2 linked regions of the Yarrowia lipolytica genome follow. The protein of the gene in region 2 interacts with the protein of the main gene of each other region in a pairwise test. Links are inferred from orthologs where the notes say so. Each region holds a gene or a part of one and is shown on either strand. Other genes may lie near its edges.

What was found. The genes of interacting proteins can lie anywhere in the genome.
Region 1: the proteins of YALI1_D14004g (region 2) and YALI1_F09563g interact in binary tests that used the Saccharomyces cerevisiae proteins (3 or more experiments, as listed by UniProt). The link is inferred for Yarrowia lipolytica from reciprocal best matches to the Saccharomyces cerevisiae genes DOA1 and HSE1.

What each region holds. Positions count from the first base shown.
Region 1 is NC_090775.1:954,757-958,931, reverse strand, and holds YALI1_F09563g (uncharacterized protein), read right to left. Parts: upstream 2,607-4,175; coding exon 549-2,606; downstream 1-548. Other genes in the region: YALI1_F09598g (uncharacterized protein), read left to right, coding at 1-248. UniProt on the Saccharomyces cerevisiae protein: Component of the ESCRT-0 complex which is the sorting receptor for ubiquitinated cargo proteins at the multivesicular body (MVB) and recruits ESCRT-I to the MVB outer membrane.
Region 2 is NC_090773.1:1,397,751-1,402,014, forward strand, and holds YALI1_D14004g (uncharacterized protein), read right to left. Parts: upstream 2,707-4,264; coding exon 532-2,706; downstream 1-531. Other genes in the region: YALI1_D13976g (uncharacterized protein), read right to left, coding at 26-275; YALI1_D14058g (uncharacterized protein), read right to left, coding at 3,838-4,264. UniProt on the Saccharomyces cerevisiae protein: Ubiquitin-binding protein involved in protein ubiquitination, sorting and degradation. Acts as a ubiquitinated substrate-recruiting adapter for chaperone ATPase CDC48 by binding mono- or polyubiquitin chains.

The DNA.
Region 1 (4,175 bases), on a different chromosome or scaffold from region 2:
CCCACAAGAAGCTGTACAACCTGCCTGTTGCTGTGGCCGACCGGTCCAAGATGAACATTGTCTTCACCATCCATGGCGAGGGTCTCGAGGACAAGTTCCTCAAGGAGGCGGCTGCCAAGGGTCTGACTGGTCTCAAGGGCCACCGATCCGTCGGAGGTATCCGAATCTCCAACTACAACGCCGTCACTGTCCAGAGCGCCGAGCTGCTCAAGGACTTTATCAACGAGTTTGCCAAGCAGAACGAGTAGACGGATGCGTTGCCAACATATAGAAGGGTGCAAACTCTGACACTTGATTTATTGATGATTTGATTGTATTGTAGCTAATGAGATGTAGTCACCAGACCCACTATGTCGAGGGTATTGGAACAAATGTACTTACACGCAATGGACCCATTTGAATCGTTGGCACTAACGGTATTCTATCGTTGATTGTACTTACAGATATCGTCAAAAGTGGACGTTTCCTTAACACACACTTACTCAGATTGACCCACGGATACGTCTACAAGTATGTACTGCACACTCGTATTGTCATATGCTCATTAACTACTCGTAAAAATTACTGGGAGGGGGGCCTGCATTGGGCACCGGGGGAGGCGGTGAGGTGCCATGAGAGTACAGACCCTGGACCGGTGGAGCAGCCAGGTTGTTGTTGTTGGGAATAGGGATCGACTGGCTGGTGACCGGCGATTGCTGTCCCAGGTTGCTGGTGGGCGTGCCATTGATGTATGGCGAGTGTCTGGCGGGCGCAGAGGCCGCGGGGGAGGTTCCGTAGGGGGCCGAATGAGCTGTAGAAGGAGATCCGTAGCCGTGAGGAGCAGAAGCAGCCGGAGCATGGCTAGGAGGCGCAGAGGGGGCTCCAGAATGGGCTCCAGAAGGGGCAGAAGGGCCTCCGGGGCCTCCGGGGCCTCCAGCACCTCCATGGGGAGCAGAGGGAGCAGAAGGTGCTCCACCCCCATATTGAGGAGGGAATCCGTACCCACTTCCTCCGGTGGTCGCGGGATGCAGATCTGTGGGTCCCTGGCCTCCCTGGCCTCCCTGGGAATACATGCGCTGTGATCTTCCAGAGTCAGTAGATCCCTGTCTTCCATGCGCCTGTGTGTTATCGTATTGATGCACGGGGTATGGAGTTTGCTGTTGCTGCTGCTGTGGCTGCTGTTGATGTGTCTGAAGAGGCTGAACAGGATAAGGAGGCTGTTGCTGCTGCTGTTGCTGTTGTTGTTGCTGTTGCTGGGGAGGATACTGAGGCGGGTAACCAGGAGTACCTGGAGTACCTGAAGTACCTGGATAACCTGCGGGAGCGCCCTGAGCACTAGGATATCCTGCAGGAGCTCCACCCTGTGCACCACCTGCATATCCACCTGCTGCAGCAGCTCCTCCATACTGTGGCATGCTGGCCTCCATAAGGTCATCATACACTCTTCGGGCCTTGACAAATTTCTCGTTGAGCTCCACCAGGTCGTCCTTTCGCTGGGCATACTTGTCGATTAGCTTGACCAGCTTGGGCCGGATGGCAAGGGTGGAGTGGTACAAGGACTGTAGCTCCTCATTTTCGGCGAGATTAAGCCGGGCAGCGTCCTGCGAAGACAGCAGTGCCAGCAGCTTTTCAATATTTCTGCTCTGAGAGAACACAGACAGCTCTTCCTGGGCCTCCTTTTCAATCTCCGCGGGAGTGGGTTCGGCTATAGGCATCACGTAGTTGAGTGGGAAGATACCGACCTGGCCCCGCAGAGATCCCCGCCACCAGTCTCGGAACACTGACTCCAGCACTGTGATTATGTCGCCCTTTCGGAAAGACAGTTCTCCGGGCTCTGTGGCGTTCAAGTCATACAGGGCCTTGACTCGGGACACCGTGGCCACCGTAGGTGTGGGGTCCTCGACTGCCGGAGCGTTGTTGTTGGTGTTGGCGTTGTTGGACTGCTGCCCGTAATCCTGCTGGTTGTGCTGCTGTTGTTGCTGCTGTTGTTGCTGATGAGGGTCCGTGGCAAAATGAGAGTTGTTAACAGGAGGTTGGATCTGAGAGTTGGTCTGGTGATGCTGCTGAAATGAGCCAGAGGTGTTTGTTTCGCTCAGCGAAAGCGCCAGCACCATCTGCAGCTCCTCCTCCTCTCGCTGGCGCTCCTGCTCGGTGATTTTGTGTTTTTCGGGCTTGGCGGGGGCCTTGAGATCGGGCTTCTTCCTGCTCAGTTCGTCGTAGGCCTCCTCAATTAGCCGCAACGAAGGGTCCTTTTTATACTCGTCCGTCAGCTGCTCCAGGACCTCAAGCACCTTGGACTTGACGCTCTTGTGGACGGCCGAGTCGTTGGCCAGCTTCATGAGGGTCTTGACAAACGCCTTGGACGCAATGGCCTGCTGCATCTTGGAGCCACAGTTGGACGATAACGAGATGACCAGCGTGAGCGCATACAGTTGGGTATTGGCGAACTTCTTGTTGAGACGCTTGGTGACGCTGGTGATGACGTTTTTCGCGCCATTTTCGGGGTCGTTGTTCACCTCGTCGCAAACGTCGAGTATGTACTGCCAGTTTTCCGTCGTCAGGTTTTCGTCCGTGGCCTTGGTGACCACGTCATCCAGTGGCGACACGGGCTCCGACGATCTGAACATGTCTGTGAGGGTGGTGAGTGGGTGCGGTTACCTCTATGAGGTGTGGTTGGTAGCTACAAGCAGCGACTATTGCCACTGAATAAAGTTGCTGGGAGGTGAGATGGAGTAGTGATGATGCAATGTGGACGGCTAACTACTTTGTGGAAGTAGAGCCGTGTGTTACTGCAAGGAGGATCTGCTGGTCAGCTGTGTTAGGGAAATTGATTGACCACCACAGATCCGAGCTGGCTATCTATAAGTACATTCGCAAATGTAGCTATTTCGAGACACAAAGGCTATCGTGGAGGCTGAGCGGCATGCGTCCTAACGGTAAGGTGCATGGGGGTACGATTCCCGCGATTGGGGGGAGGCAATAATTGCGAGTACGGTTATACGACGGTGTGAGAAAACAACCATTGAAGAGGATGAACGACGACTTGTACTGAGTGCGTGTTTACTTGTTTAGTTGTTTAACAGATTGCACGATACCTCATTGCGATCAATAGTTGTGGTATTATAGATACAATAGCAAGCACCGGTTTCTTGTATCGTAGAAGCCTCGTATTGGTTTTTGTTTATGTCTTCAACCAAAGTTAGAAATAGTAACGATAGCATACATAGCCTGGTTACTTGTATGCTGCACATGACTGTCAGCACGAAGACAACTACTCCGTCAGATAGTGATGTCTGATGCGGTGGAGTACAAGACAAGTATCTGATTGCATCAAGAGACTTGCTACAGTACTTCAACTGGTATCACTACTCTTTATCAGATACCCTCAGATGCCATCAGCAAGCAGTGAAGAAGATACCTCCACTAATTACTTGGTGAACTGGTGCAGTACAGACTGTAGCCATGATGGTATGATACCAGTCTGCGACAAGAGCAATACTATACGAATACAGGTACACGTTACATACAGCTTTACTCGTATTGATCCTTCTGTGCATGCAGGGGGCGGAGCGATCTGGTCATGACCATTTATCTATCTACACATGAGCAGGGCTGTGTTTAATCGGTGGGATCTACGGTATCATAGTCTCATCTAGAGTTAGTCTAACTGCTACTTTAATAGCGTCCCTCAATAGCTTGATAGCGCATGTACCGTTCGAGAAGTCGTAATACAATACATAAAAACGCACCGCACCTATACAGTAAAACGCACCTATGTTGTGGACGTCTGATATTTATTCCATTATGTCGTCGCCGACCCCGTTTCCCCCTCCTCCCCCAACTTTACATTGTGCATCAAACGGTTTTTTTCTGCAGCCAACGGTGGCCGGTGCTTGTATGGGCCCGCACGGACCGGTACAATACATACTGTGAAGCTGCACTGCCCCAACCTCGGCACATTGACTTTAGCCCACCCACGGAACACGATAATCGATCAAGAGACAGGAGCGATGCAAGTAGCAAGATATGACAGATTCCTCAGACGTCAAAAGATCCGGGGGCGCCCATTGCCATCGCTCCGCCCATGCCTTAGTGTGTTGTGACACGTCCTCCTTTCATGCACCCCTCTCTTTACATGGTGGTAATAAAGCGTGGTCAGAGGAGAGAGGAGAGATAAAGCGAGTGCCGGTATATAA
Region 2 (4,264 bases):
CCGTCGTTCCGTCACTCCTACTCACTGATGTTCTCTCCGAAATCGGTGGCGGTCAGACCAACAATCTGATCGCTTCCCTCCACCTTGCCAACAACCTCGTAGAAGTGGCCAACCACGTAATCGGAGCCGTCAGACTTGACCTTGACGGGCCCGTTGGCATCCAGGTTGACGATCTCGCCGTCCTGAGACTCGACCTTGCCGATGATTCGCACCGTCTTTCCATAGAAGTCGCCGAGAAGACCGCTGTTGATTCGTGGGGTTGTGGGGAAACTCATGGCTGTGTTTTTGAAATGTGTGATGTTGATGAAAGAAACACTGGCCTCAGGTAATTAACACCCAACCTTGCATGCGACGTGACGCGTAACGTGAGTTACCCTGAAGTGAGCATAGAGGTGAGAATGATTAATATGGGGGATTTAGTAGAAAAATCACATACTTGTGGTATATTTCCTCTGGTTGCTACAATTCAAACATCCTACATGTGTCGCTTCATTCAGTCGTATATTCATTCATCTTTCTATGTCAGCTATATTACTTGGTGAGATTAACCATGACCTTCTTGAGCCGAAGCTCATCATAGGGACGAGCCACCAGAGAAGCATAGTTGAACAGATCATAACAGCTGGCAACCTCCTCGCTCTTGAGAGAAAACAGCGTGCCCGCAGCCACGGCCAGTCGGAAGACGGCCTCGTTGCCAGTCACCTTCTCCCACACCTCACTGATGCTCTGCAGAAGACCAAAGGCAGCCTCCACGTTGCCACCGTCGTATGCGTTCACAGCGAGATCCAGCAGCAGTGTGGCAACAGCAGTCTCATATTGGCCAAACAGCTTTTCCGACTTGTAGTCAGCCAGAGTCCCTTTAACGGTATCAATGACCGACTCAACGTCGGGGAATGTATTTTTGGCAGCCACGCTGTTGACCACAAACCGAACCCCCATGAGTTTGTGGGCCAGCTTGGGTGATGCAACAGCGCCCTCAACGGCTGTGACAATCTCAGGCTTTGGAGCGCCCAGCTTCTCAGCCATGAGGCGCAGAATATCCAGTCCCAAAAGAGGCTCAGACCAGCTAGAAACAATCTTGAGCACCACTGAAAGCAGGGAGGAGCCCAGTTCGTTCTTGGAAAGCGCAAGTTTGAGTGCAGAAAGCTCGTCATCAGCCAAAGGGGCGGCTTCGGACGAGTTAAACTTGTCCAGACCCTTGCTGAGAGCCGCAGCGTTGTATGTGTTGATGAAAAGAGGAGTTGTTAGTGGGAAAGGAGCGGGTTCGATAGAGGGGGCAGCTGCTGCTGCAGAAGCAGAAACAGAAGGCGTAGGGCCGCTCACTTCTCCACCAGGAACGTATCGACCCCCGTAGGGATCAGGCGCAGGGCCAGAATCGCCTCCAATGTTGACGCCACCGGTGTTCTTGATGATGAATTGCACAATCTCCTCCAAGTAACCTTGGGGAAGCTCGTACCGGTCAATGAACCGCTGGGCAGCTGCATAGACATTCTCATTGGAGTTGTAGGGGAGCTTGAGTGCTGGCTGTCCCTCCTCTACGTCAACGTCAAAAATGTAGTCGTACTCCTTTCCGTCCTCAGCCACCTTCTTTCGCTCTGCGCCGGGTGCATCAACTACTTCTCCAATCTTGGTCCAGCTGGAAGAAGCAGCAGACCACTGATGAGCTTCCACAATTCCGTTGCCCTTGACCATAATAACCTCTCCCTCCTTTGTGCCAGGCTGAGACAGACGCTCGGGTCCAGGCAGCTTGTCCTTGTTTATCTCTCCGACCTGGTCCTTGCCGATAGCCGAGTTTGCCACAGAGGCTTCAAAGTCCTCGATTTCAACAACATCTGCGAATCGTGACGAGTCACGTGAGAAGACGCGCACCTTGGCATCGGAGCCTCCGACGGCAATGTCGCCATTGGAGGCTGTGGCGCCAGACCACACAGAAACACAAGGAAGAGTGATGACCTGGGTAGTCTCTCCTGTAGTGGCGTTCCAGATTCGAGCGGTTCGATCCTCGCCTGTAGTGATGAACTCTGTGGGGCTAATTGCTGCGACGGAGTAGACAAACGATGTGTGACCGTCGAGCGTCTTGATCTCCTTTGCTGACTTGTTATCAGATGACAGTTGCCATAATTTGACTGTGGTGTCGTTACTGACAGACACAAACTTGCCGTCGCCCAAAATAGCAAGGCCTCGAACAGCGTCGGTGTGAGCAGGCAGGGTGGCGACACACTGGGCGTGGTGCCACAGCTTGATGGTCTTGTCAGCAGAGGCCGTCATGAACACATTTTCCTTGGCAGAGACGATTTTGACGGCCCAAACAGCCTGAGCGTGGCCCTCGAGGTTGTACAGCACATGGCCGTCGTTCCAGACCTTGGCGGTCTTGTCCCAGGAGCCGGAAATGACCAGATCGTCAGCAAGGTCTAGAGCGCAGACATTTCCCTCGTGACCAACCAGAAATCGAGCTGTGTCGTCGCCAATGAGCGCAATCATCTTGTCCTGGCCTCCTGCAGCAATGAGACGGCCGTTGGGGGCCGCAGCAATCGCATTCATGAACCCGCCACCGTTGTATATCGCATCTGACGATCTGTCAGAGTGCCACTTTCGCACGCTAGTGTCTCGAGAACAGGAGACGACTTCTGAGTCAACGAAACAGACGCCCTTGACGTCCTGCTCGTGTCCAATCAACGTCTTCGAAATCTTGTAAGTCGGTGCCATGATGAGACGTCAATTGATGTATGATGGAGTGTGTGACGTATATCTCTGGGGTTATTACGCATGTTGCCACATGTATTGGGTTAGGGTATGTAGGGATGGGTAGTAGTAAGTGAAGCTTCTAGCAGGTTCACTTGGATCGCACTTGAAAAGAAAAGGCGCTAGTTGGGCCAATCGAAATGTTTCAGATAAACTGAGAAGCGCTGTCGATATTCTATCACGATCATGTGACCAGACCCTTCTACCACTACATCCATATGACTTGTCTCTCGATTGTGCCATAAGTACATGTGAGAGCACAACCTCCTCTGCATCTCATCAATGCACGAGAGTTGCAGCCTCGCCTCAAGGTGAGTGAGGGATAATGAGCTGGACGGCGGTGTGGCAGTCACGTGACCCGAATTAATGGAGTTATTGGTCTCTTTTTTGGAGGAGACTCTCAACTACGATGTCTAATCTGTCAAAAGTTCCCGAATCAACTGATCCAAGAGTTCAACCTCCTCTGCAGGCCCTCGAACCTAATCAGTCGATGTTGGGATACTTTTACTGTGGATGTGTGTTACTGAGGGGAGCAAGTATGTATGTACTGTAGTAGGTATGTTGTGCGGTATTAACAACTTTGAAACATGTTTTTTTTTTTTCAATTAAAATAGCATCTCGATTGTAACCCCTTTTCTACTGTCTCAATTGGTAATCTATTGGCGCTGCTAGGCCCCCTTGAAATACCCAGCCACGTGACTTTTTTGGTCTGTCCTGTAGCAATTTGTCTACTGCGGATCTCACAGATGCCTTCGTGGCCAAGTGGTAAGGCGCAGCACTAGTAATGCTGAGATCATCAGTTCAAATCTGGTCGAAGGCAATATCTTTTTCACTTTCTATTCTCCTGCTCAATTATGTACAGCTGTACAGTATATCATTTTTTGCTGTGCATTTTGAGCAGATCTTTTTGAAGCCAGTATTCAATTAATTATCCAACTAATTTCCCAGCCATTTTTCACATGTTTGTTAAGGTTGGAACTCTGCATTACTGTACGATGTTATAAAATTGCAATACAAGTTTTACTCACCTCTTTATCCGTATAATACATTAATTATTTTTTTTGATAATAGCTATAATAATAATAATAACACCGTCTATTCCTCCTCGACGCCCTCCCAGAAGTTCTTTCCGGCAGTGGTCTCCTTGATGACACCAACTCGGATAAGGAAGTCTCCAAAATGCTCACCATCGTTTCGCTCCAGAGACCATCGCTTGAACAGAGGCTTGAGAATGTCCAGAATCTCATCCTCCTTGAGCGAAGATCGATAGAGCTTGTTGAGTCGCTGGCCCTGGTAGCCACCACCCAGCATCAGGTTGTAGGCTCCGTAGGCCTTTCCAACCAGAGCCACCTCGGCAAGCCAAGGTCGGGCACAACCGTTGGGGCAACCGGTCATTCGCATGACAATGGAGTCGTGTCGCAGACCGTACTCCTCCAGAGCGGCCTCCAGCTTGGTGATGAGCACGGGCAGGTATCGCTCGGACTCGGCCATGGCCAGACCACAAGTAGGGAAGGCGACGCAG